4 linked regions of the Mytilus edulis genome follow. The protein of the gene in region 3 purifies or fractionates together with the protein of the main gene of each other region. This does not show direct contact. Links are inferred from orthologs where the notes say so. Each region holds a gene or a part of one and is shown on either strand. Other genes may lie near its edges.

The links.
Region 1: the proteins of paired amphipathic helix protein Sin3a-like (region 3) and metastasis-associated protein MTA3-like purify together in Homo sapiens (affinity purification with mass spectrometry; 3 studies listed by BioGRID, with this or other methods). This does not show direct contact. The link is inferred for Mytilus edulis from reciprocal best matches to the Homo sapiens genes SIN3A and MTA1.
Region 2: the proteins of paired amphipathic helix protein Sin3a-like (region 3) and SIN3-HDAC complex-associated factor-like purify together in Homo sapiens (affinity purification with mass spectrometry; 4 studies listed by BioGRID and IntAct, counting the BioPlex papers as one, with this or other methods). This does not show direct contact. The link is inferred for Mytilus edulis from reciprocal best matches to the Homo sapiens genes SIN3A and SINHCAF.
Region 4: the proteins of paired amphipathic helix protein Sin3a-like (region 3) and breast cancer metastasis-suppressor 1-like protein-A purify together in Homo sapiens (affinity purification with mass spectrometry; 3 studies listed by BioGRID, with this or other methods). This does not show direct contact. The link is inferred for Mytilus edulis from reciprocal best matches to the Homo sapiens genes SIN3A and BRMS1L.

What each region holds. Positions count from the first base shown.
Region 1 is NC_092346.1:39,274,229-39,281,742, forward strand, and holds the start of metastasis-associated protein MTA3-like, read left to right. Parts: upstream 1-4,508; 5' UTR 4,509-4,913; coding exon 4,914-4,941; intron 4,942-5,415; coding exon 5,416-5,483; intron 5,484-5,668; coding exon 5,669-5,762; intron 5,763-7,514. UniProt on the Homo sapiens protein: Transcriptional coregulator which can act as both a transcriptional corepressor and coactivator. Acts as a component of the histone deacetylase NuRD complex which participates in the remodeling of chromatin.
Region 2 is NC_092353.1:70,783,569-70,790,981, reverse strand, and holds the start of SIN3-HDAC complex-associated factor-like, read left to right. Parts: upstream 1-4,409; 5' UTR 4,410-4,528; intron 4,529-4,884; exon of another isoform or gene 4,885-4,973; intron 4,974-5,532; 5' UTR 5,533-5,565; coding exon 5,566-5,793; intron 5,794-7,413. Other genes in the region: serine/threonine-protein phosphatase 6 regulatory subunit 3-like, read right to left, coding at 29-108, 1,148-1,207. UniProt on the Homo sapiens protein: Subunit of the Sin3 deacetylase complex (Sin3/HDAC), this subunit is important for the repression of genes encoding components of the TGF-beta signaling pathway.
Region 3 is NC_092354.1:81,250,417-81,257,527, reverse strand, and holds the start of paired amphipathic helix protein Sin3a-like, read left to right. Parts: upstream 1-4,085; 5' UTR 4,086-4,456; intron 4,457-6,843; 5' UTR 6,844-6,880; coding exon 6,881-6,904; intron 6,905-7,111. UniProt on the Homo sapiens protein: Acts as a transcriptional repressor. Corepressor for REST. Interacts with MXI1 to repress MYC responsive genes and antagonize MYC oncogenic activities. Also interacts with MXD1-MAX heterodimers to repress transcription by tethering SIN3A to DNA.
Region 4 is NC_092346.1:84,390,168-84,397,766, reverse strand, and holds the start of breast cancer metastasis-suppressor 1-like protein-A, read left to right. Parts: upstream 1-4,579; 5' UTR 4,580-4,683; coding exon 4,684-4,810; intron 4,811-6,290; coding exon 6,291-6,381; intron 6,382-7,599. Other genes in the region: uncharacterized protein, read right to left, coding at 500-552. UniProt on the Homo sapiens protein: Involved in the histone deacetylase (HDAC1)-dependent transcriptional repression activity. When overexpressed in lung cancer cell line that lacks p53/TP53 expression, inhibits cell growth.

The sequences.
Region 1 (7,514 bases), on a different chromosome or scaffold from region 3:
ATGACCAAAAACAACTTTGAATAAGAAATACTTTGTTAATTTATATTTTGACAAAAATTATCAACATAAATTTATTAAAAACATTTACCAGGCATGCGCCGGAAAGTAATCATCAGTACCGTTTGATGGTTTTCTGTAACAAAAGAAGAAGAAGATTAATAACATGTGCGATTAAGATTTTGATGAACTTTATACACACCTGCATACATTACATGATCGGTCCAAATTTTCACTACAATAAGCAAACTTGAACGTCTAAATACTGTCATTCTTTCTTTAATATATTTCTATAAACAAGGAATGCAAAAAGATATTATCGTATTGTAATACATTTTCTGGTTCAAAGAGTTTTCGAACAAAAACGTACTGCTTTACCAAAATTTCAACTAATTTTTAGGGGAGATAAATTGGACTACTTACCGTGTTGCTATACAATGTATGTAGTATATAAAGGAGGAGGCAATTGTCACCGACTTTCTTTAACCAGTGTGAAAAAGTGACTCATTCCGTAAAAATTAAGCTTAGTTCCCCTAATTTATCTGTACTAAAACATGATTGCCAAGATGTATAGCCACTCACTTAGTCCCACCCTACATTTTTTTACGAATTAAAATCCTTGAACTAGGACAATTTTGAATTAGCTGCTTATTAAAAAAAATTGTGCCTGATCGTGGACTGCCTTAGAGGGGATCCACTCCAGACATGCTTCAGTGATTCCCTATATATAAATCAACAAAATGTTTCCCACAAAAGGGGATCAGACTCTCTGCCCCCTCCCAAAATCCGCCTCTGGAAACTACCATTTGCTGTAATAATTAAGTGATCCAGGAACTGGCAATATAAACATCTGCATGACCCATCATCATGTCAGGAACCTCGTCAGCAATTGTATCTTGGTTTAAGTTTTACGTTATATTGAAAATTGGGTGTTGATGGCACAGCTGTTTAATTTTTGACAACTTTTATAGTTTCTGTGCGATTAAGATTTTGATGAACTGTATACACACCTGCATATATATTGTTAAATATAAAAATAAGATGATGTGGACGGTATGGTTTTCTACGAGACAATACTCCACAAGAGACTAAATGACACAGAAATTAACGACTATATATCTATAGGTCACCGTACTGCCTTTAACAATGAGCAAAGTCGACATCGTATAGTTGCTGTCTTGAGAATTCACGTATACCTGACATCTATTCATTTTTTTTAATTCACAATGGGCTTCCATATTGGGATGGACGGTCAATCCTTTTTTTATGTTGGTATAGTCGAAGAAAGATTTCTTATCTATTGTATTATTGTAAAGACTGTTTATTTATATCAACAAGATTATGTTGTTATTTTAACTCGCATTTTGATTTTTTTTATATGAATTAAACAGGATTTTTAATATTCCGAAGAATGTCACATTTTAGTCTTAAATGACAAAATCGCAAAAATAAATGTTCGAAAAAAATTTATGAATTAGTAATAAGGTACACCAAGGCCGTAACTAGGCATCTTATTTTAGTGAGGCAAAATAATTGAGCCGAGCGAAGCGAGGCGTTAAATTTTTTTGGAGGGTATGAAATGAATGGTGCAAAATCCTGCGTTCTAGGCATTTTTAGAGAGTTTGATAATATTTTGAATTTGGACAGTTTTTATATAAATTGTTCATATTTAAAGACTTTTACTAATACCAAATTTTTAACAACTTTATTTGAATTTGTATGTAAGATAATCATCCAAATATCAATTTAAATCTGCCGCCAGAACATAGAACAAACATCGATTCAGTAGAGTTTGTCAATTATTTCTATGGTGGGTTCAGTCAATTAAATTGTTTTAGAATCATAACTTTGGTCTGCTGATATCCTTATCGCGATGAACATGGAGCATGGCAAGACCGCACAACCTCTCGCCACTCATGTATGCTCTTTTCCTAGATTTCAGTCGTTTCAGGTCAGTCTGTGTTTCTAAAGGTAGCACATTATCATCAACACAATGATCAATGTCTTCTTCCAATTCCTTCTCCATCAGCAATTCGGTAGCAGCATCGGTAGTAACAGTTTTGTTTGCAAAAGGGAATTAAGCTTTCCTATAAAGGCTAGCATCATCATACAGTCTCAGTTACAAAATATTAAACTCGCTTGTATGCTGACAAAGAGTAAACAAACTAGGGATAGAATGAGATAAGATACATGTATATGATCTATCTATAGAGTATTAAGTATATATGATATGGGTACAGGGGAATTAAAATGGAGTTTGACGTTTACATGTAGGTCCGTAATTTCAAATTATTTCTGGAAATAGTCGGTGGTATTTTAGTTCCAGAATCTATAAATTAAGGGGTTATGGGTTGGGGGTGTCTGATTCCGAAACCCCGAATATAAAGAAATGAAATTCCGTAGTCCCGAATAAGTAAAGACAAAATCCTGTGATAAAGGTTCTATACCATTCCTCAATAATGTCAAATTGGAATATGGGATGTTCTTTCAATTTTTAAGGATAAAGAAACATGGATCATGAAAAACTAATCCATGCATGTTTCATATTATTTATATTTTATTTATCTGTAAAGAGAAAGATTAAAGTTGATGAAACTGAGAAATGAATACACAGACAGGACTGCCCCCTTGCGATGCCCACTACTTGATTTGTCAGTCTACTTATCGTTTTTGGATTGTTCTAATGAAGTTATATGCAATACGCAGACTACGTTCACAAACAAATTAGTTTACTAGAATTATTCCTTCTTTACCTTCAGTGTCGCTTTTCCTTTTTCTGCAAGAGCCTGTTTTTAACCAGAGATCCATGATGATTATCGTTACTAGGTTAATGTAATTGAGAAACATCACCCGTTGAGATGCTGAGTTATATCCAGGAAGAATAGTTTAAAGGAATGATGACAAGTTATAGAAATTAAGGTTGAGACAGAACAACAAAAGACTATTTTATTTGTATATATGTATAAAAAAAAATAATCAGTGTCGAAATTTTAGTGAGGCAATTGCCTCACTTGCCTCAAGGGTAGTTACGGCCTTGTACACATGCAAGTAACTAGTTTTACTTTAGACTTTGAAAAAGATCACCATTGACGTCCAAGTGGTTGATTCATGGCATGTCATACTCGTATTCATATATACGTTTCGTATGTATGGCAATCTCGGTAATCCTTTTATGTCAATTAATTGCATCTGATTTAATGCCCATTATCGGCCCTGTAATTTGGGAAATCATTTTTTTTTATTCTATATTCTGTTCTATTCTATAGTATAGGTAAGTTTTGAATATTCAGTGCCATTTGTATCGAATTCCCAATAGAAGTGAAGCAATCATTTGCGATAAAAATACACCCCCTACAAAAAAACCCCAACAACAACAACAATAAAAAACAAAACAAAAGCAAAAACAAACATAAACATTAAAAACGAAAAAAAAACAACCCCAAACATTATGATTAAAAAAAAGACTTATTTTAAAAAACTTAAAAAAACGACCAAAACTATTTATGTATGTGCCTGTCCCAAGTCAGGAGCCTATAATTCAGTGGTTGTCGTTTGTTAATGTGTTACATATTTGTTTTTCGTTCATTTTTTTTTTTTTTTATATATAAACAAGGCCGTTAGTTTTCTCGTTTGAATTGTATTACATTGTCATTTCGGGGCCTTTTATAGCTGACTATGCGTTCTAGTATGGCTTTGCTCATTGTTGAAGGCCGTACGGTGACCTATAGTTGTTAATTTCTGTGTCATTTTGGTCTGTTGTGGACAGAAACTGTTGTCTCATTGGCAATCATACCACATCTTTATATATATATATAAAATCTATACAAAACAATGTATAATCATTGAATGTTTGCAATGACTAAAAATTCTAAGCTAGTTTTTTTTCAATCATCGGCACGGTTCAAAATGACATGGCAATTTATATATATGTAGACAGAGACATGTCTCTGATGTAGAGTATCAAAAGGTGCATTATATAAACAAAAAGTCCCACTACTAGCGTCATGGCTACTTTTTCACTATGCTAGCAAATATCCAAATGTGCATGTATCTTTTTTTTTAATCTTACCAAATTAAGCCTGAAATAATAGTAACTACTGCCCACCACATCGTTGTACGACTGTCAACTATCTATATAATTTATCTATTTTTCTGTATAGTCTTTCAGATATATCTAATTAGAAATCAGGTATTGCACATGATAAAAAGACAATTATTGTAGTTCCCGCATTCCTAATACACATTATATAAAATTGCAAATAGTGAAAAGTCTATCCCCCTTTTTTCTCTTATACCAAATAACAAACAAACAGACATTTTAATGACGTATTAAGAATGTGGATAATATACAGTAAGATCTGAACGCTGACTGAAGTTTATGATTATACTATCCTTTTAATTATGAATACGATTCAGTCGTATACTTGGCCTGCTTACGTGGTACAAAACATATGTAAATCATTGTGCGTGACTAAACAAGCTATAACAAATCATTTTTTATTTGGCCTAATGATTGATTTTCATTGTATTCAAAATACAGGATTTAAAAAAAGTTAAGTTTAGATAAACAATTAATTAATAGGATTTAGATAATAACAATAATTAAAGTAAATTTCAAATATTCCAATTATTTTCATCGAAAAAAATTATGAACTTTGATACCCTACAAGATATATGTATGTAATCTCTATGAAAGACATCAAAATAGTTCGGAGTGAAAACCAAAGCCGCCGAAGGACGAATGACGTCACGTGTGAAAAGAGGAGGAAGACAGAAAAGCCGAGAAATGGCGACTCCATGAAATGTCGTCTGGGGGTGATACTGACCGGACACTACCCATATTTTATTGATGTATTTTTGTCGGCTTGTTGGACTTTTGGAACACAACTGAGAGAACAACACAATAATTACCAGTCATGGCTGCAAACATGTACAGAGTAGGAGGTACGGAAGAATTATTGGGAAACAGCATGGACGGTCCCCACTCTTCCAACGCGTTGGAATATTGTGTCACCATAATCATGCATTTAAAGAGAAATAAACCGCATTTTTTAGGAAATTTGTTTGTTTACTAGTGAAAATGGATATTCAATCATTTTTGTGAATGTTTTGAAGTGTAATGTGGAAAGGAAGTTCAGTTTGGGGATCTCAAGGGGGAAGTAAAGCGGTCGGAATGACAGAAGGAAGAAGTTTTTCTCCTTTTCTAAAACATGGATTTACGAATGTTTATCTAACAAATCAATGGAAAGATTCGTATATTCAGTTTGTATTACAATTATTTATATTAGAAAAATACTTTAAATTTGAATTCAACTGGTACTTAAGTTCAAGGAAGCTTTTTAAAATGGACTATGTTTTGGCGGAAGGATTATACTACAAATTAATTTTAAACAAAGAATTTTTATTTTCTTATTACAGATTACGTCTATTTTGAGACAAGTTCAACAACTCCATACCAAATTCGACGTATAGAGGAACTAAACAAGGTACAGCATTTTATTTATTTTCTTTTTTATGTCGTAAAATTAGCTGTTTAATAAAAAAGAATGTAAATTGAGGCCGGTAAAGGGCAAAGAGGTACCTATGGGGTGTTAATTTATCACACTGGGTGGTCACGTGTTCAGGTGATCGAAATGGCTTCGATATCAGATGTCTATTTTCATTTTTTCAGACTCCAAATGGCAACGTCGAAGCAAAAGTTATGTGTTTCTACCGAAGAAGGGACATCTCCAGTTCACTTACCCTGCTTGCCGATAAACACCAAAGTAAGTCTGATTCTACTTTTGAAAATTGACTGCACATAAGTTCTGTGTGTTGACAGTGCTTGCTGTGGAAACACAGCATCATAACATTATATTTTCAGAACTTCAAGAGTTTCATATGTGTAAATTGGGAGTATTTACATCAGGAAAACAACATTAGCACGTGGATTTTGTACTACAAACGAAAATAGTCCGGCAATGAGAGAGTTGTGATTGGTTAACTTTAGTTCATTGATGAGATGGGGCTGTACCTTTTCAAAATGTAAACAACACCCATTCCCAGGGCATAATATCAACTTTTGGTCCATATTACTCGCAAATAAAAATATATATGCGAGTCTTCTCTTACATTGATTAGAGGAAAATATATTTTATTTTGAATTAGTTTTATCTTGTGTTGTTGACTACATGTATTTGTTGTCAGCTTTAAAACTGACCCATACATTGTAGGACATTAGACCTACACAAATGTAATTGTTCTTGATTTGTTTAAATTGCTTTAATTGTATAAATAGAATAACGATACATTTTAAACAACTAACAAGGACAAACAAAATTTGGGAAAGTTAGTAATTGTATCCTATTATTAAATATCTAATAACAGCAAGATGTGTTGTATTTTAAGAATTGTTAGTTTCATACAAGGTTTAATTTTTGCTTCGCCAAGCCATTTCTTACCTAGATAACTTTACAAGCACAGTAAAAAATACATAGCAAAACTTTTCATACCTTGAATTTCAAATTTCGTTGTTGATAAAAAATTTGTTTTTTTGACTTTTCAATATTTTACTGAAAGATGGTCATAGAATGTCTTAGACTTTATATTTTGCAGTTGACATTTAAAGACAGTCTGGTCTTGATTTTTTTTCATGAATTTTCATTTTAAAATGATAAGATTAAAAAGACTATCATTTTGATGATTTTTTATGAAACTTGAAAAGAAGCTTATTTCAAGATCAAGAAATGAAATACAAAGTAACACCAAAAGTGCGTATAAATCTAAAAATGGCAAAAGTGATGCAGGGTTTTAATAACAATGTTTTTGTGTGGAATTTCAGAAAGCCTCTAAATTATGTATCAGTACAATTATTTTTAATTTAAATTTGTCCTGTTATTTAAAACTTTGCTTGGCCTTAAATATATAAAATCTTGTTTCCTGTCTCATGGCATAAATCCGTGGATTGAAACTTTTCCTTGTCTAACAACACAACATTTTTTTATTTTAAAATTTATTGAATGAATGTTGAAAAAAATTAGACATACATTGTACATTTGTACATGTTGGTTTTTCTGTCCCTTTCCATCAGTCCAGCAAATCAATTTTGAAGATATTGATTTGATATTTGAGATATTATTTTATCTTAACAAGTTATAGATCAATATAAAAAAGAAGATGTGGTTTACCGATAAAAGGCTTGTATAGTCTGCGGTTTATTCTCCAAAATTGAACCTACCAGCTGGGGTGCGGACTAAAGAGTACAATAAGCAAGAAATAAGAGAAAAATTCAAATTTCGCACTCTTTATAATTTTTCGAACTAATAATTTTATCTAATCCATATTAATAAGTTATTATTCAATATCAAATTAATATTGAATAATAATATAAATTTAGAAATTAAATGCTTCATAACAAATTTCTAATTTCTTTTCATTGCATTGCTTATAAAATAAACTGGTATCTGCTTGAATGAAGCTGTACCAAAAAAGTAAGAAAGACAATCATAAACCAGCTTACAGTGTGTAAATTAGAAAAC
Region 2 (7,413 bases), on a different chromosome or scaffold from region 3:
CATCATGAACTATTGTTACAACACTTACAAATCAATAAGCTTTTTATTCTGTGCCTTGCATTCCTGTAGTATATCATTTTCATCCATTAATTCTTGAAGGGTGACATCCTGTAAAATAAACCATCATTCTCCTGACTTCAAATATCGAAATCAAACAGTCAAAACACACCTACACTAGTGTATACAAAGGGGTATGTAAATAAAAGTTGCATATTGGTAGAGTACAAACAAGAATGTGTCCATAGTACACAGATGCCCCACTCTCACTATCATTTTCTCTGTTTAGTGAACCGTGAAATTGGGGCAAAAAATCTAATTTGGCATTTAAATTAGAAAGATCATATCATAGGGAACATGTTCACTAAGTTTTAAGTTGATTGGACTTCAACTTCATCAAAAACTACCATGACCAAAAACTTTAACCTGAAGCAGGACATACGGAGGGACAAACAAACAAATTGACTAACAGACCCACAGACCAGAAAACATATTAAATGCCCCTCTACTATCGTAGGTTGGGGTATAAAAATAAAGAATCAATGATGTACAGTGGAGTCCCCAGTGTCTACGTGGCCGGTGATATGCAAATAAAATCTTTCTATAAATTAATTGCTTTAGTATTCCGAATGGACAGAAAAGATTAAAATTGATCATTTCAAGAGTAAATTTTAAATTACCATCCAATGATTAATCACATTTAGCCAATTTCCATTGCCAAATTATATTTTCAGATAAAGTTGGTTTCATTAAAGTCAAAATTAAATCAAATAGATCTAAATTTTGCTCTGCATTCTTGGCATTCTGTTTGGTTCAAATTCAACTACATTTCGTACTTTAAAATCTTTCCTTAATTCAAATAACCCATTTTCATAAGACTATTAATGCAAGCGAAAAATCACCAGAAGAACTCTAAAAACAGTGGTTTCCCTAATTTTGGACACACATTACACAAGAGCTTAAGGGTGAAACCATACATGCAGAAAATTTTATGAAATAAGTTAGTGATGAATTTGTTCACATAATATTATATTATCTTATTATTAGTTTTATCATTAAATAAAGTGAAGTCATAAGACTTTATGTGCGCGGATACACAGAACTGCACCATAATGTTTTCTAAAAATTTACAATATTGATTGAGACTTACCTCCTTTCCAAGCAAGGTATCAATCTTTGAAGTTGTGATAAGATTAAACTTCCAAAACATCTTGTTATCTGGAAAAGAAAGATTCAGTTAAGATTCTGATATGTTATATAGTTATGGCTGATACAACTACAAGCTATAATTCAAAGTTCAAAATTAACAAGAATGTGTCCAAAGTACATGGATGCCCAACTCACACTATCAATTTCCATGTTCAGTGGACCGTGAAATTGAGGTCAAAAGTCTAATTTGGCTTTTAAATAAGGCCATATCATAAGCAACAAGTGTACTAAGTTTCAAGTTGATTGGACTTCAGCTTCAACAAAAACTACCTTGACCAAAACTTTAACCTGAAACAGGACAGACGAACGAACAGACGAACAGAAGGATGCACAGACAAACAGACGGTCACAGACCAGAAAACATAATGCCCCTCTACTATAGTAGGTGGGGCATAAAAATAAAAAATAAAGGAACTTTATAACTTCAGTAGTCATATCTCCTTATTTTTATATGTCAGTAACATACCCACAAATGTGTTTATCATCAGATGGAGAACGAATTGTGGACAGATGGCTACTTATGAAATTTTTCTGGATTGATATAAATTTGATTTGATTTTTTGGTGTTTTAACTCCACTTATAAGCACCGTATTTAGGCTATTTTGTGGCAGCCAGTTTTTATATTTTTTTTAAAAATAATCGTTATATGCTTTAGCTTATAGAAAGTGCCATATTTTTTTTTAATTTATAGGATTCTGGCCTGTAGATTCAAGTTCATCATGAAGACTAAATAGCACCAAGGTGCATGTTTCACACCACTCCGCCATGAAAATCACTTTAAATGGTTTAAAAATAATAATTTCTGAGTACTAAAACTTTAATCAGAAAACAAAGGCCAAATGATTTGAAAAACTACCAAACATTGATATATCAAAACACAATGACTCTTTTTGTCTATATGAACCAGTCTATCAATTGGACCAGCTGAAAAGTGAAATGTATTATAATAAAAATGATTTCATTTTGGCAATTAGAACTGAAACGTCATACAGTTTAAGGGACTTGTAAGTACATCTAGGTTGTTCAAATACTGTCTTTACCACTGACATACAACATCACAGGCGATCTATATCATCTACATTGCACAATGACCCATCAGCACATCATACCTGTCAACCTCTGGAAATGAAAAGTCAGGTCATGACCTGCATTGAGAAAAAAAATCTCAGGTCATAACGCGTACGACATTTTGCGGGCTCAATTGAAGAACAAAAATATGTTTATATATAATTATATAGTCAATATGTATATGAAACAGTTAGAACATGTATACAAGTTTATTTCAGACTATTGTTATATTCCATAGTAGCAGACTTGGCATTCTTTAAAAGAACTGCACTTGGTTTCAGTTCATAGCAATGCAAATATGTATTCATTTTACAAGAAAGAAGAGCACACAGTGTATCCTTATTAAGATCAGCCCTAAACTCTGTAGCTATTTTCTTTACTAAAGAAAATGCCCTCTCACTGTCTGCATTGCTGTTTGGCAAAACCAGTAATGTTTTAGCAAGTTTTGACAAAACAAAAAATCTTGGCTTGTTTTCAACTACCACTTTGTTATTTTCAACTGAAAGGGCCCTCTTTACTATTTGGGTGGTTTTAGTTTTTCAACAGGAATAACCTGAAGCTATTTCACTGTCAGAGAACATTAATTTACACGGTACGTAGCTCAGGTAAACAGTCCTACATTTTGACTTTTGGTTACATTGAAAAAGACCGATAAAACCGAAGGTCGTATTACTTCTAAATACCGGAAACAATTCCGGTCAGAAATCCGGGTGAAACGGGTAATGTTAGAAATTCCCGGGACCCGCCGGGTAAAGAAAAACTCCCGGGTGAGAGGTGAAAATAACGGGTGTCACCCGCAAAAAACGGGTGAGTTGACAGGTATGGCACATTGCCTATAACATTGTTCAAGTTTGATTTCTGTAAGCGGTTATTAATAAATTTGAATTTCTGTATTAAAAATGAAAAATTTATGTTTCATCTACTTGGTAAAAATAAAAATTGTCAAAGAAAGTGAGTATGGTGACCAACAGGGCGATTTCGTTTTCGATGGTAGGGCACAACAAAGTGATGAACACAAAAGCTATATTGTCCCCCCAGTTGCCTGCTAGCGTAAGCCCTAGGTACATCATTACATTACTGCTATTTGTCCGCCATAACTGGATATCACACAGGTTCCCGTAAAAATTTTGACCGTCATAAAAACAAAATAAGTGACGCCACAATGGAAAAGAGATTGTTGTTGACGTCAAAAGTTCAAGCAGCTGACCTGGGATTAGCAATAAGGTGTATACACCTTATCGCTATTTGTCCGCCATTACTGGATATTACACAGGTTCCCGTAAAAATTTGACATCACAAAACAAAATATCTGACGCCACAATGGAAAAGTGATTGTTGAATGCGTCAAAAGTTCAAGCAGCCGGGTCAGCCGGGATTAGCGATAAGGTGTATAGGCTATAGCCATGTTTTCACATTCCAAACATTCAAAACCATGTTTTGCCCTCAAAATATTTTGACTAGATTCTGCAGACAGCTTGAAATAAAACATGCTATTTTGCACAGATTTCAGTATTTGTGTCTTATTATCACGACAGGACATAATTGAAGGCATTGTATACCCACAGTGGTCACAGACTCATGACACTGCTAAAACCTATGGGAATTGAAAGTACTGTACGCAAACACGCTCGACAGTGAAATTAGCAATATTTACGTGGACTTAGCATGAAGTAAGAGTGTTAGCTATATAACGATAAAGCATAAATTTGTTTATTAACCTTTGGAGAAGACTGTGGTTTATTTTATCAAATGTAAACACGGAGAAACTTCTTCAATATCAAATGTACTCCACGGGTTTCTTGGTTCATTTCCAATTTTTCATGTTGAGGGATTCATGACATCAAATGCAATTAGTTAAATATGATTCTATGGGTTGGGTTTTGCAATAATTAATAGTCAGATCATTGAATAACCAATAAATATATGATATTTATCATGTCAGGCGGGAACGAGTACTTCTCAAAATGGCGACGCTGAATATCCCATAATCAATTTTCTGCGTTCTCACGAGAAATTTGTATGATTTTTATTTTTTATTCTATTACCACAAAATGAAATTTTATTAATAATTAAATAGCAAAATTATACTTTAAATGATTTAGTTTTTTTATTATCAAGCACCTGCGCTGTTGTCATAATAAATTTGAATACGCATGCGCGTTCATTGATGTTCCACTTCAGGCGATCATCTGAAAAATCTGTAGTTTACAAACGGACAGAAAAAGTCTTTCAGCTCTGAAAAAAATTATTCCGGTAAGAATTTTTGAGTTAAACTTTGTTTAATAGACATTTATTTATAATTTTCGTTGAAAATTGTGAGCTGTTACATTCTCTATTTTTCAAAAAACGTTATTACATGACCAATGGCATATCACTTGTTACCGGTGTGTAAGGAGCGGTTTCTCAATTTTTACATTTTTTAAGAAAAAACTAACTGTGACAGTTGTCAAATTTGAAAGTTTATGATTTGTTTTATATTAAGGATTAATTTTAAGATTTAATTTTTATTTCCTGTTTTGAAATTAAAGATTTTTGGTGAAAAACTGTGCACATGTATGTACACGATGAACTTGATCTGGGCGATCTGGGCCTGCGCCAATCATAAATTCCTTTGTTCCAAAATAGGAAAACGCTGTGAAGCGTAACCTTGTCCAAACGGTCATTGACACAATTACCCAGAGCGGCCTATTGATTGGTGGTATGTCGATTTATCATATATGTAGAAAGCGGACGTTCACCATAATCAGAATAACCATTGATTAGGCAAAAGAAAATATGTTATAAAATAGGAATTGAAGGAATTTATTGATTTGTGAGAATGACATTTATATTGATAAAACACTAATAGTAAATTTAAGTACAAAGGGGTTAAGTGGAGTGAACTATTATATAATAAAAGGACTTTTTAATTTATGTTCATCAGTATAGGACAAGGATTTGTATAACATTATCAAGAAATTACTATACAAATCCTTGTTAAAGATTTTTTTTTTTTAATCACAATCAGTAAATAATATAATTTGTAACATATACATACATTTATAAGAATAGTTGAGATAAATTAAAACGTAAGTTTATTTTTGAATTACAGAGGGCTGTATTTTATATGTTTGGGATACATTTGGTGATTTTAAAGATATATTACACTTATCAAGTTATGTGAACTGTCAGGCTGAATAGTACAGTTTGTCTGATTACTGTGGCAATCATAACATCCTTATTTTTATATTTATTAATGAAAGTTATGTTTTTTTCAGATTTAAAAATAACGAATACATATACAAGGAAAGATGTTCAGTTTTCATAAACCCAAGATTTATAGGAGCAATAACGGCTGTTGTATATGCCGAGCAAAATCATCAAGTTCTCGCTTTACTGACAGCAAGCGATATGAATGTGACTTTGAAAATTGCTTTAGAATTAAAGAAAGACGTGCTGGTGAAATATGTAATGCATGTGTACTTTTGGTGAAAAGGTGGAAAAAGCTCCCCTCTGGAACTAACAGACATTGGCATCATGTAAGTTTATATTTTTGACTTTTAATTAGATAAAACAAATTGATTTTAGAGAGATTAAAATTAGGGCAGTATCTGCAAGCTATTGATTTTTCAAAAAAATAGTTTATATCAGAATAGTGATTATTTTAATATTGGATAGCTAATTTTTGCGCTGTGTAAATATTTGTCATAGTTTAAATTCCATAGATTACACACAGGGACTGATCAATGTGTGTGTCAGAAGTAGGTCATGTTACCTGACATAGTATGTACTCTCAAGACAGGTCTTAATACATATGTATTGACCTTCAGTATCTCAATGATTGATCTTGTGGTGTACCAGAAAAGATGGGTTATCCAAAAATAGATATTTTATAAAATTTATAAAGTAAAGAAAAAAATGTTAAAAAAACCAAGGTACAAGATATATTTGAAATAAAGTTACCTGGGGCAGTGATTGAATAATTAATTTGAAAAAAAATACCATATTATTAAGTTGTGAAATGTGTGTAATTTTTCAAAAGGGGGATCAGATATAATTGTTTTCATAGTGTTAGATAATATCTGAAACCAATTATCATCAATTTTCTGATGACATATATCAGATATTTGTAAGATGGGGACATTTTCCTTTATAACTACTGACAATATTTGTGTTATTTATTACCCTCTAGAGGGTATAAAGATTCCTCAAAAAACATGTTGACATGCAGTGAATGTTAGCTATAGAAGTTAGACAGGCTCATCCTGTTAATCAACTCTGTGTAATCAATGTCATAAAATGAAATCTGATTATGTTAATAGGTCAAGTCTGTGTTACTTCCTTATATGTAATGAGGCTGTAACTAAAATTTGAGCTAGACGGATTTAATTTCTAATATAAATAAAAAATATATACAATGTTTGTTTAATTGATACCTAGACTTATTTGGAACTAATACATACATAATTATTTATTGCCAGCATTGGTCCAAGTTCTTATGTAATATTACATTATTAAGCATTCCTATAGAAAGGTCATATATAAATAATTACACAAGTTAAATTGAAATTAGTTTTACTTGTAATATTTCTTTCTTGGGGCTTACAAAAAAAAAACTTACAATTGAGGAACCATTAAAGTTAAATGACAATATTTCTCTGTTCCCCTATCAGGTTTATTAGAGAAATAAACACTTGCTTTCCCACCATAATATTGAACTTTGTATGAAGGCTAAACAAGCACCTGCCTGTTTAAGTGTAGTGTCCTTATAAAATATGTGCATTTTAATCTGAGTTTTAAAGTATTAAACTAGGTCATTGACTGCTTTAAACCGTCTACTGCACTCTGAAAATTTAAAGAATAGGAGGTTGACTATATTATCAAATATCTTTCTATGAGAAACTGTGTGTAATCCAAGGTCTATATATTTTTTTTGTTCATGTAATAGTTAGCTCATTTTTAGACAACATTATGTTTTTTTAGTGTTTTTGAAAAAAAAACCTGTTTAAAATCAATAAAGAACTCAACTAGATTCAGACAGACTCATTTTCTCAAACTGTCATGGCTTTTGTCACATATATAGTATGAAAACTCATCTGAAGCATGTATACAATATTTTGATAATTTGAATTACTATTTTCATTTATATGTTGTTTTAA
Region 3 (7,111 bases):
CTTATCTTCTATCTACCAGATGAGCAACATTTATTTACTACTGCAATGCTGTCTGAAACTATCGGGTCAATTTAATTTTAACAAACTGCACGACCAAAACTATTCTCCACTGACTGAAACAGCATGTCAAAAATGTGTCACTATATACAAATCCTTGGAAACTATTTTACATGGTAGAATAAGATAGATATAAACTTTAAATACAAACATATATGATCAGCAAGACAATATTTACAAATTTAAGTCCAAGATCGTCAGTCGACTTGTCCTTTAATGACAATTTTCCATTTTATTATTTTTTGTAGCATTTTCGGAGATTATCTTGGAAACTAATATATTAGATGGATAGAAACTTTTAATCGCAAAAATATGACCAAGACACTATTTACAAAGCATAAATCTTTAGTCAATCTATCTTACTTTTCACTTCCTGAGTATATACCTTAATATATTTTGAAAGGTATATTTAGGAGGGGGAATTAATGAGACAAGTGCCTGTGATCAGTGGCGGATCCAGAAATTTTTATACATGTTATAAGTGGGGGCCCAATGACTGGCCTAAGAGGGGGCCCGCTCCAGTCACGCTTCATTGATTCCCTTTATAAGCAACCAAAATGTATCCCAAAAAGGGGGCCGGGCCCCTGCCCCCCCCCCCCTAAATCCGCCTCTGGTAATACGAATCCTTGGTTATTGCTTTGAAAAGGTTTCTTCTTCTTCTTCTTCCCGTTACGAGTCGAACTCTGTAGTAAAGTGTAATTGACTCGGGCGCATCTCAAACAGACAGGAGGCCACTCCTCTGGCCAAAAGTAAAAGTCCAGGAAATAATCTGGACAGTATTTACAATAAAAATATGATATTAATTACATCTTTGTACACTGGTTATCCTGCTGTCTATTTCAGATGTGGCTGGGTCCAGGGGATGGTATTCACTCTGGCCCTGAAGTCCTCTAGGGATCCGGACTCCACTACAGATTCGGGGAGTTTATTCCATTCTCTAGTTGTTGGTGGGAAGAATGAGTGGTAGTATACGTCCCTCTTCACTCTAGTTTGTCTAAGTTTGTGGTTGCCCCTGGTCCTACTGTCTCCTGTCGTGTAGTATTTGGCTGGATCAATGGCAATCATCTGATGTTGAGTCTTGTAACACAACACAAGACTCTGTTTCCATCGTCTGTGTTGCAGTGATTCCCATTGAAGTTGGTCCAGTAGCTTAGTTACACATCCAGGAGAGTTGTCCTGGTAGCAACTATAAACAAAGCGAGCTGCTCGTCTTTGTACCTGCTCTATGTCGCGTATGGTGGTGATTTGGTGAGGATCCCATACTGGGGAGGCATATTCCAGGGTTGGTCTTACGAGCGTAGAGTAGGCTGTGGCTTTTGTTGCTGGAGTACACCTACCAAGATTTCTCCGTAAGAAGCCAAGTGTCTTTGAGGCTTTCCCTATGGTCTGGTTGATATGGTTTGTCCAGGTGAGGTCTTTGTTGATAGTGAGCCCCAGGTATTTCCCGCTGTCTATTGTCTCTAATGTGTGTCCATGGAGTGTGTAGGACGTCTGGTGTTGATGACGTCGTCCTGAGACACGGATGACTGTGCATATCTCCGGGTGGAAACACATTTGCCACTCCTTTTCCCATTTTTCCAGCGAGGTTAGGTCTTTTTGCAGCAAGTCTGCATCTGCTGTATTCCTAATGCGGCGGAAGAGTAGACAGTCATCAGCAAACAGTCTAGCGCTTGATGTTGTTGCTTCAGGGAGGTCATTGATGTAGGCCAGAAAGAGTAAGGGGCCCATCACAGTGCCCTGGGGTACTTCAGATACCACGTCAAGAGGGTCCGACTTATGGTTTTCAAGGATCACAGACTGAGTTCTGTTAGACAGAAACTGTTTAATCCATTCCAGCTGGGGACCTCTTACCCCGTAATAATCCATTTTACGAAGAAGTCTGGCGTGTGGTACCTTATCAAAGGCCTTGGCGAAGTCTAACAGGATGATGTCTGTCTGGTCGCCGTCCTCTATGTTTTTAGCTATTTCATGTATAGTTATTACCAGCTGAGACTCGCATGACCGTTTGGTTCTAAACCCATGTTGTTCATCGCAGAGTATGTTGTTTTGGTCAAAGTGGTCCATTATAGAGCTGTGTACTATGTGTTCCAGTAGCTTACATGAGATGGATGTCAAAGAAACTGGACGGTAGTTTGCAGCTGTATGCTTTTCCCCTTTCTTAAAGACTGGGACTATGTTGGCTGTCCTCCAATCTTCTGGTACTGATCCCTGGTCCATTGACAGTTGGTACAGTCTGGTCAGGTAAGGTGAAAGTTGATCAGCCATATTCTTTAGGATGAAGGCTGGTATGTCATCCGGGCCAGTTGCCTTGAACGGTCTTAGTCCTCTAAGTAGCTTAGTGACACCATTCTGGCTGATGTTTATTAGTCTCATGGTTGGATATGGACTCGGCCCTTTATCTGGCATGTTGTTTAGGTCTTCTTGGGTGTATACTGAGTGGAATTGAGTGTTTAGTATAGCAGCTTTTGTTGGTGTGTCGCTATGTAGGTATCCATCTTTATTTTTTAGGGTTGTTATTCCTGACGATTCCTGTTTCCTACTCTTTTTGTATGACCAAAATCTTTTAGGGTTCTTGTATAAATCATCACTGACTATGTTTTGCATGAATTTTGTATGCGCTCGTCTAGACTCTCTTTGAAGTTCAGCTTTAATGTTTTTATACCGCTTCCAGTCCTTTGTTGAGTTGGTGTGGTTAGCTTTAGAGTAAGCTCTTTGCTTCTGTTTGCTTAGACGTCTTAGTTGGTATTCATCCAGGGATGGCTCTGTCTAGCAAGTGATGTTTTTGTTGGTACGTGTTTTTCCATGGAATCCTTTATAATTTGTTTAATTGATGTCCACATGTTGTTAATGTCATCAAAGTTTGTCTTTTTGAAAGTATCAAATTGGCTGTCAAGGTGTTTCCCTATACTCTCCAAGTCTGCTTTCTTCCATAGGTATATTTTTCTCTTTGATGGTTTCAGTTTGTTGACATTTGCTGATATGTCCACTAATACTATATGTCGTGGTCGCTATTTCCTATAGGTGGCAGTGTTTTACATCTCTCTATGTGTCCTGGATGGCTTGTAAACATCAGGTCCAGTATGTTGTTTCCTCTTGTGTTGTTGTTGTTTATTTGCTGGATTGACAAGTCAGCTGACATCTGTAAAAATGCTCGATTGATTGATTGTGGCAGTTGGTTACCTTTAATCTCATTTCTTTCCCAGCTGATATCAGGTAGGTTGAATTCACCTCCAAGGAGGAATGTGCTCCTTTTGTTGTTGTTTCTCAGATTTTGTATCTCTGTGATTGTTTTCTCCACATATTTACTGTCTGTTTTATTTGGTGGTCTGTAAAAGCTAGTAATTATGTACTGTTTGGTTCCCATCTTTATTTTGCCTGTTATCATTTCAGCTTTGATTCAGAACATTTCTTTTTTGGGAAAAAATAACAGATATATTTTGTTTATAAATATATATAAACCGTGGTCGTTCCCGTTACGCCTAATCCCTTTCCTAAATCAATTATCATGCATAGTCAAATAAATTTAAATCAATTCACGGGGAAACCCAGTAACCTTGAATATCTAATTTTAACACATCACTTTGATTGGCTTCTATTTTTGCATAATTTTATGTTTGGAATTCCAAATTTCGGGCAGTTTGCCAATCATAAAATACAAGACGAAGGAAAATAATGTTTTGCATCCTGATTTTTTAAGGGGAGTCTAGGTAATCTGTATTTTTTAACAATAATTCACGTCAATTTTGTATGAAGTTGTAAACTAAACCGAAAGAGGTGTCTGATGATAGTACTCTAGTACACGTTTCTTGTGTATGTTGTTAAAAATGGACTCGTCTATGTATGAACACAGAACCCTTTTTGAAATATTCTTGTATTACCCGTACTGATGTTTGAGGATTTACAATGAATATTCGTCTAATGCTCTTTTTATTCAAAGTAGAATATATAAATTTTTAACAAATGGTTAAAAAATAAATTTTCAAAACGATTTCTCTCCGCGAAGAATAAATGTATCTAGGTCATGACTCACACAGGTGTTTTGTGTGTTTTCATTCGGAACACGATCATTTAAACAGGCGCGCGTCTTTCGGTCGTTTTACCACTTTAATATAAAATAGTAACAGATGGTTTACAATTGTAAATGAACCTTATATTACAATCCCTAATTTTGTATACATTAACTTTTTTTAAGATGTCAAGGGCATGTATCGATAAAAATACTACCGAGACACGCACCTTTACATATGTGTTAGGACGAGTCTACTGAAATTACACACAGGGGAAGGCAGGCAGTTGTTTATACGGCCGACAAGTACGTCGGTGATACACAGCTGTGGAAAATGTTAATTTGTTAATGATTTAGGAAATTCCAATTTATGTGTTATATACGTTAGGAAAGGTAAGCTTTCATTGCATTAGAAAACACTACTGGTCAACCAAAACAAATATAGGATTTTGAAATTTGGGTGGAAACATAAACTGATGTTTGAAAACCAATGTCGGCCATGATGAAACAGTGTGTGCTAAAAATATCCGCGGGAAAGGCGTTGCTTGTTCTGTATTTATTCTTCAACGTAATCACTATATAACAAAGCACATAACATAACATTTGTAAAATTAAAACAAACAAAAACTTTTATTTTTTTTTTTACAAAAAAAATTGTCTCGGCCCCCTCCCCCTTTCTGTGGTTTGAAAATTTATTGACGGTCAATAACAAATTGAGCTAGTATTTACTGTTTAACAACACAATACTTTATCATATTGATATTATCTTAAGGTTTCCACATAAGGTTTTGTGAGGGGTTCTTCATCTTTTTCTGTAAGCATGTGCTCACAACTTTGATGTTGATAATTTGGTCCCTTTGTTTCTTCTTGCTTTGTTGTGTTAGAAGTCTTACGAATACTCCTTGCTGTTTAAAAATCTGTCCCGCTTTTCCGTTGTGGCGTCATATATTGTCTATTATGACGTATAATTTAACGGGATTTTGTGATGTGCACTAATTGCGGACAAATGGCAAAAAAGAGTATCATCTAGACCCTGATAAAATAAAAACAGCAGTAATGTTAAGAAGACGCAACCAAAAATACATGTATCTTGTAAAATTAAGAAGATGTGGTAGGAATGTCAATGAGACAACTCTCATAAACAAGCAAAAGAGACTGTAAATAGTGTTTGATGTTCACGTTGCAATTATGAGTAAAACAGCTATATTTATAGAAAAATAAATAGATCTGGTGAGATTGCTAATGAGGCAAATATCCACCAATAGACCAACACTTGTACTTTTATTAACTCTTGAATATCTTCTTATGCAAAGATTGAGAAATAATATTGATTGCAAGATTTGAAATTGACTGTTTTTCATTTATCAAAGCTTTTGAACAATTTCATAAACTGTAAAACGAATTTGTTTGATAAAAAGTTTTTTTAAGAACTTTCTATTATATGATTCAAACAATTGTAAACTAAATTAATTTCACCTTTTTGTCTTTCTCAATTTTACGACTTTCTGTCCATTTTATTTTCTGGCATCAGTTTGTTTTACAGAATTTGTCAATCTTGATCATAATCAAAACATGTTTTTTACAGCTTATAAAGTAAACATCAAAAGTAAATGAATCCGGGAGACACCTATCGTTCATTTACATCTATGATATTCATATTTAAATTGAAATAATTTATACTATAAAATACAGGTCAAGTTATATTAGTATTGAATATTTTAAACATGTTCCATTCAAGAGTTATGTCCCTTACTGTAAATGTTGATAAATGTATTTCCTTGGATTTCAGATGATAATAATATTACTGTGTGACCAAATCTTAAGGCAATTATAACATAGTGTCATCAATCATAAACTACATGTCGAGTTCAATTTTCATGGTATTGACATTTCCGTTCCAGAGTTATTCACCTTAATAACCTTTAAACTTTGATATATATTTTTTGGTCCATGTGATAAAAAATCTTTTAAGATTTTAATATAATGCTACAAACAAAAGTTATATGAAACATAAAATATAGGTGACATTGCAATTGGGATCTAATTTAGGACCTTAAATTTTAAATTTATTTGTAAAAGAGGGACGAAAGATACCAAAGGGACAGTGAAACTCATAAATCTAAAATAAACTGACAACGCCATGGCTAAAAACGAAAAAGACAAAACAGACAAACAATATACACATGACACAACATAGAAAACTAAAGAATAAACAACACAAACCCCATTAAAAACTAGGGGTGATCTCAGGTGCTTCGGAAGGGTAAGTAGATCCTACACATGTGGCACCCGTCATGTTGCTTATGTGATAACAAATCCGGTAAATAGTCTAATTCGGTAGGTCACATTCATGAAAGGGAAGGGGATTGTAGTTACGACGTAAGGAACAAAGAGTTTCTACAAGCAATGTGATCTAAGAGTCACTGAATTCTAGTTTTCTGATTTAACCCACATTAATTTAGTAGAAAAAAATCAATTTCAACTGGATAATTTAGTGTAAAAAAATTTTGTTCTCATATAAACCAAATGAATTTTCCTTTGGAAATAAATTAAGTTCCATGCACAAGTTAACTGATTTTAGTGTAATTGGGATTGCTTTGGAAAAATATGTGATTTCCCTGATTTTGTTAATGAAATTGAAAAGAAATTGCAATTGCTAATCTATTATATCTACCTTATTATTTTTTTTTGGCATAACTTATATTATTGGTACAAAAACATATGTGCTTGTCAATTTAATAATGAACATTATATACTAATGAAATGGTTTTGTTTGACAGGTATACATCCTATCCTAACTATACAGGTGTACAAATAATGCAGCGAAGAGTTGACGAACAGGTTAGTGATCAGATTCAATGTATATATAATATTTATAATTATCACTTTTTACCAAATTTTCATTTGACCTTACTGACTGATAATTTCCTTTCTCAGCAGAGAAGTGCAATATGAAAAATTATCAGTAGAAACTAAGCGCGCACATGTCGTTCTCAATGAAATAAACAGCTTCGTCATAAGTAAAAATTGAAATAGGGATAAACAGAT
Region 4 (7,599 bases), on a different chromosome or scaffold from region 3:
ATGCACTTGAATCCTCATTTATCACAACTTTCTAACCGGAACAACTAAACGAAAACGAAAAGACCAAAATTAAACATCTCCAATATTGGCAATAATCAAATATGTCAATACCAGTAAACACTTCTAAAAAATAAATCTGCTTTATTGTATCTTCGTGTTGAAGATAATTAAGAGCGAATATTTTGCACTCCAAAAGGAAAACTTTTGAAACTATATCGCACACATGATTTTTACAATCTAAAAGACAGGGTATGAAGTCGTGAAAGATTGACGTATTTAATGATGAAAATCGAATTCAATTTTAAAAGAATGTCATGGAGTGGTATGTGTCCGATATTGTGATAAAGCCAAGTTAATATTTTATCACCTAAAAGCGAGTTAAAGTAAATTATAAACACAAATGATTTATTTGAAAAATCGAAATTGTTTGACACAAAGACCGATATGAGTTCAATGATAACGGGATATCAATAAAACGTAAAAACTGTAGGATACTTACCCCTGAACAAGACTGTAAAGTGTGAATACAAGAAAAACCAAATTTGTTTCCATGTTGCTCCTATCTTATATGATAAAATAAAAGTCACTTGGACAAGAAATAGAAATTTGATTGCAACGTGGCTTCCGCGTTTTGTATACGTTTAAATTGTCATATCATTTGTTTACTCGTGTTGAAGGTATAAATGGTGTTTCTTAAATTCCAATCAATCAATAGAGTTGAATGCAACAGCTGGTGAAGTATCTTTGATTATTTTTATGAATCGTAGGTGCGCAGTTAATCAATATGAAACGTACGTGTATCTGATTAAATTTTGGTTTGGGTCTTAATTGACAGTATAGATACAAGAAATACATAGATATAACTATGTAGACTTTAAAATCTATGACGATGTTTAGTTTCTCTTTTAAAAAAAATACAGATGCAATTCACCCATGCTTGATCGTTACGGAATATCTGTGTTCCTATTGTAAAAGATTATATAGTTGTTAGATCTCATATGTAGTATAACGTATAATTAATATTATAAAGTTATAAATTATTTATTTATGAAAATCTTCAATATTTTTGATTGTACTCAGTGTATTTTTATTAATGCTTGATATTGTGATAAAATGATTTTAAATTGTTATTAAGCTTTTGTATTCTCTACTAATCACATCAATGAACAGTTTTATTCAGTGCGGCTAAATAGCAAATTTGCTATTTGGCCGGTGCCGGTCAAATAGCCACTGCCTTCTTTATATGTATTCTACAAAAGAGGGGCGAAATATACCAGATGGTCATTCAATCTTGTATATCGAAAATAACTAAAAAAGACAAAGACTAACAGACAAATAATATAGTATCAGATACGGATTTAGAGGGGGTCCCCTTTTCTGGGAAAAATTTGGTTACTTATATAGGGAATCACTGAAGCATGACCGGAGCGGGGCCCCTCTTATAGGCAGTCAGTGGGCCCCCACTTATGAAAATTTCTGGATCCACCACTGAGTATACATGACACAACATATATAAAACTAAAGAATAACTGAGCAGCATGAACCCCACCAAAAACTGGCCGCGTGATCTCAGGTGCTCCGGATTAAGTCGTAAGTAGACCCTGCTCCAAAAGTGGCACCTGTCGTGTCGAATTCAAGCCTCGACTATACGTTAGATTGAAGATTTAGTAATTCATTATCATTTCAGTGGCGGATCCAGAACTTTTCCTAAGGGGGGGGGGGGGGGGGGCGCTGACTGACCTAAAGGGGGGGGCACTCCAGTCAAGCTTCAATGATTCCCTATATAATCAACCAAGTTTTTCCCCGAAAAAAGGGGCCTGCCCCCCCCCCCCTTCCACCCCCCTGGATCCGCCTATGCATTTATATAGTTCAGAACCTCTTTCAAATTTTGTCTGACTAAAAAATAGATCCCACATTGTCTGACTTATCAGTATAAACAGTTCGACTAGACTTTTATATAGACAAGTCTATGAAGACAACTCTGACCGTCAATAAGTTAACTCGGATCATCTATAAACCAACTCTGAGAGTCTGCAAGCCAAAGATAACTTGATATGTTTTTCAAATTTAGCAACACCATGTTAAATATAACACAGTCTGATTAAAACCACAATGAATATAAAATTAAAAACTTAATAATCATATATATATAAAGTGCCTAGAAAATATATATATATATGATTATAAAGTTTTTAATTTTATATTATATAACAACTCGTCTAAACATCAACCCAACAATGTTAGATCTGTAAATTTGCTTTCGCAAATTTTTGGTTCTTCCCTCGCCGGGATTCGAACCCATGCTACTGTGATATCGTGACACCAAATCGCCTGCACGGCAGCCGTCCCGCTAGACCTATATATATGTGTATGATGTGTTAATCAGTACTTGCGTGATGGGTCCGATGTATACATCTGTTGTAGAGTTGTCACTGACTCAGACGTACTTATAAATATAATTATTTTCTGTGACTGTATATTACATTAATTTGTAGGATCCTTTACTATAGATAATTTAGCTGATCTGTAACAATAACATCTTCATGCCTTATATATTATGTACTGTAGTACGCCGCTAGATTAAAACTGACGAAGAAAGGTAACACACGGCCAACGAAAGCTCTTCTTTTGAGAGCCCAGGTGGTCGTGTGGTCTAGCGGGACGGCTGCAGTGCAGGCGATTTGGTGTCACGATATCACAGTAGCATGGGTTCGAATCCCGGCGAGGGAAGAACCAAAAATTTGCGAAAGCAAATATACAGATCTAACATTGTTGGGTGGATGTTTAGACGAGTTGTATATATATATATATATATATATTTATATATTGAGTTCAAATGATCTTTAAAATACTTTGTCCGCTTAGTTTTGATTAGGAGGCGTCCTGATTTCGAAATCCCAATGTCCCAAATTTCAGTAGTAAAGAAACTTAAATCCCGACATCCCGAAATTCGAAAAAATAATACCGGATCCCGAAATTCGAAAAAATAATACCGGATCCCGAAAGGATCAATCCCGAAATCCTGAGTTTAAAAACACCCAATCCTGACGTCCCGATATATAGGTTCTGCATTATAGAGGTTTTTATTGGATCTCAACTAGTCAAACTAGTATTGACGGTCCAAGTTGTCCCTCATCGCTAAAGCAGCTACATAAACGCCTGTCTCTTTTTTGCATCGTTTTAACACTGTCGTAATTTAAAAAAAAGAAAGACTGGATGCTTAAGTTAACAAGATCAGGGTTGATGGGTATGCACAAGTGTGGGTATGTCACTGCTTTTATTTTTGTCGAGCCTGCAACTTTTGTTGCAGAAAGCTCGACATAGGGATAGTGATCCGGCGGCGGCGGTGTTAGCTCACTTCTTAAAAGCTATATATTTTAGAAGGTGGAAGACCTGGATGCTTCATATTTTGTATATAGATGCCTCATGTTACGAAGTTTCTGTCAGTCACATGTCCATTGTCCTTGACCTCATTTTCATGGTTCAGTGACCACTTGAAAAAAAAAGTTCAGATTTTTTGTAATGTTAAATTCTCTCTTACTGTAAGTAATAGGATAACTATATTTAGTATGTGCGTACCTTGGAAGGTTGTCATGCCCGTCAGACAGTTTTAACTTGACCTCGACCTCATTTCATGGATCAGTGAACAAGGTTAAGTTTTGGTGGTCAAGTCCATATCTCAGATACTATAAGCAATAGGTCTAGTATATTCGGTGTATGGAAGGACTGTAAGGTGTACATGTCCAACTGGCAGGTGTCATCTGACCTTGACCTCATTTTCATGGTTCAGTGGTTATAGTTAAGTTTTTGTGTTTTGGTCTGTTTTTCTCATACTTTATGCAATAGGTTTACTATATTTGTTGTATGGAATGATTGTACAGTGTACATGTCTAGTGGGCAGATGTCATCTGACCTTGACCTCATTTTCATGGTTCCGTGGTTATAGTTAAGTTTTTGTGTTTAGGTCTGTTTTTCTCATACTTTATGCAATAGGTTTACTATATGTGTTGTATGGAATGATTGTATGGTGTACATGTCTAGCGGGCAGATGTCATCTGACCTTGACCTCATTTTCATGGTTCAGTGGTCAAAGTTAAGTTTTTGAGTTTTGGTCTTTTTATCTAATACTATATGCCATAGGTCAACTATATTTGGTGTATGGAAATATTTTATGATCTATATGTCAGTCGTGCAGGTTTTATTTGACCTTGACCTGGTTTTCACGGTTCATTGCTCAGTGTTAAGTTTTTGTGCTTTGGTCTATTTTCTTAAACTATAAGCAATAGGTCAACTATATTTGTTGTATGGAAGCATTGTTAGATGTACATGTCTGCCTGGCATATATATGGTTCAACTGACCTTGACCTCATTTTCATGGTTCATGTTAAGTTTATGTGACGGTCGTAATAAAGCTTTATATTTAGGAGTATCAACATAATATCAATGATTAGTAAAGAAGGCGAGACATTTCAGACATTTCAGTGTGTGCACTCTTGTTGAATTAAGGCGCGTTATGAACTTGTATAGTTAAAACCAAAGAACATCCGAAAATAGGGATATTCCAAAACGCATGCGTAATTGAATTGTTTTCTCTTGAAAATACAACTTCCGTTTACCGCATTTTACATTATTTTAAAGTAAAGTAAAGTATCTCTTATTCTGTAATATCTAATATTTAACAGAATGCCGACAATTGAAAGTGAGAAGAATGAAACAGAAGAAGAGGAGATGGATCACGAACCAGCTGAAAGCGATAAAAGCTCAGACGAAGACTCAGAATCTGGCTCTGTTGACGACGACGAAATATCTGGTAAATAATTATTTCAAATTCCGAGAGAAAAGTGAGGTAGTCTTTCTTAAATTTTGAATGCTACTTATAAAAAACATTGTTTTTTTATTAGTATATGATCATTTGAAGCATTGTCACGTCCCTTTTCTTCCATAAAAAAGTGTCTAGAAATCGACTTTTTTCTTTCATTTGACATTTGTAATTTAAAGGGCTAATATATTATGAAGGGCTTGTATGCCATATTGTCACTGAAGGTATGTAGAATTATAGTCATGTCTTATCACACCCATTTCGTACCTAAGTCTTTGACCATATGGACGACTGAATATGTATGCCAACACTTTCTATGCGCCACATTCAATGTTGTGGTTATTATCATAATATTCATGCCATGTGCTCATGTAGAACACTTTTAGGCATGACACACCACCCAGTCCATATATCTACATCTTTGAAATGCAAAGGGTCTAGGACCCATCACGCAAGTACTGATTAACACATCATACACATGTATGCAATGTCGTTTCACATAATAATACATGTACCAGTACCTCAAACTTGTTATCAAAATTATTGAGAGAGGTCTCAGGTTAAGGTCACTACATACAGAAAAAATTGCAGCTAATTAGTGTCAGGGAAGTCAATAATTCAATATTGATCAGAACATTTATGAACATTTTGATAATATAAAAATGTTTCTTTGACAAATGTTTGAAAATGTTCACTTTCACTTCTTTTTAGACTCAAGAGAAATTTATAGATAATCATTTGATAATAGACCAAGGAGCTAAAAGGAATATCTGTTTAGAGGGTGGTAAAGGGAGGCCCTCAACACGGAAACACGTGAAATAAAAATGGCAAAAGCGTTGCATGGAGAAAAAAAAATCGGAAAAAACGAAGCACGAGAAATAAAATAGTAAATATTAATGTAAAAAGTAAAAAATAATTTATTGATCAGCCGTTCTTGGAGATCATCTAGCCATTATATATGATGGACATGATGACCCTGCAGTCACATTTTAGCGTCCGCTAGTCGCAACTGATTTAAAAGAAAAATATTATTCATTATAATTAATTTTATAGCAGTTTTAAAAATTCTGTATGGGAACACATAATTTAAAACAATCTCCTGACTGACCGGGGCTTTGAATTTAATCCCGGCCTGACTTTAAATCAAATGCAGGACAAGCACGAGAAATTAAGAGTACCGACACAAAACACGGAAAATAAATAAAGGAGAACACGAGGCACGCACGTCGAGCCAAACACAAGAAAACGAAAAATAAAACTTCAAAACACAAAAACACATGAATTAAAAAGGCCCCCTTAGTTGCTTCCCTGGGCAACTGAGGGTTGATGTAACAGGTGATTGTTAATAAAATATGTTTAATATAAAAAAAAAAAAAAAAAAAAAAAAAAAAGGCGGAAAACGTTGCACGAAAATAACCCTTTACCACCCTCTGTTTAATTTTTTCCTACATTTCTTTCATTTGTTTTGCAGACCTAGATGAAGAAGAATATGACCACAGAAGAACTCATTGTTTAGATGAAATGGCAGATCTGGAAAGGCAGTTTTCTGATATAAAAGAGCAGTATGTTAGATATTGTTACTATAAAAGTAAATTGATGGGGGACACCACTTTCAGCATGGTTGCTATTTCAAGGTCATCCGTATGTACAGGTGGAGGAAGTCAGAGAGAACTGCTGACCTTCTGTAGGAAAACTGAAAAATTTATTCAATTAAGATTGTAATCTTAAGGCACTTGCTACATGCAGTTCCTACTCATAGTCTCAGGTTCAGTGTTGACAGGCTAGTGATACAGTAGTTGAAATACTTACTCTAGTTGCTCAGAGGACCCCTGTGACCTTAGAACTTGTGGGTGTGTGCAAAATTGCACTCCTTTTGTAAATGATGAACTTTGTTAAATTAATAATTATTTTAAATTGAGTAAGAATTTTTGGCTGGTATTATTACTAACTCCTACTGTATGTCATAAATTCAAAAATGACTTCTGTGGGGTTTGTACTGAAATATAGTGTTTCCAGACAATATCTTTTGTAAAAGTAAATATAAATCTATGAAATTTAAACACAAGGTTTATAACCACAAAAGGAAAGTTGGGATTGATTTTGGGGGTTTCGCTTGGAACAGTTTAAGAATTAGGGGCCAAAAAAAGGGCCCAAATAAGCATAAACTATTATACCTCCTTAGAGAGGACAATTATTTTTTGCGTTTATATACTACTTTAATATATAGAGACTCTCTGCATTCTGTCTCAATGTTTTCTTTGAAATGTTTACTATTTAAGGGGTTATACCAGTTGCATATATATTAAAATAAGTAAAACATGTGGAAACAAGAATGTGTCCATAGTACACGGATGCCACATCGGCACTATATTTATTAAGTTTCGAGTTGATTGGACTTCCACTTCATCAAAAACTACCTCGACCAAAACCGGACATAAAAATTTATTGTTGAAAGTAAAAGTAGTGATTTGGCAAAAATGAAAATAGGGTAGAGATTAGAGGGAGGCAAGACCTTTTTCGTGACATCGGGATCAGGTGTTTTTTTACAGGATCGGGGGTTATATTTTTCGATTTCGGTATTTCGGGATATGAATTTCTTTAAATACTGCATCTTCGGAATTTCATGTTTTTAAGCCGGGAGTTCCGGATCAGGACCCCTCCGACCACCCCTCAAATTAGCCTTAGTCGGTCTTAGTCATTTATACAAGATTCATATCCTACCATTGGCATGTTAATAAGGCTCCAAAAAGAAAAATCACTAATGGATTGTCCTGGAAGCA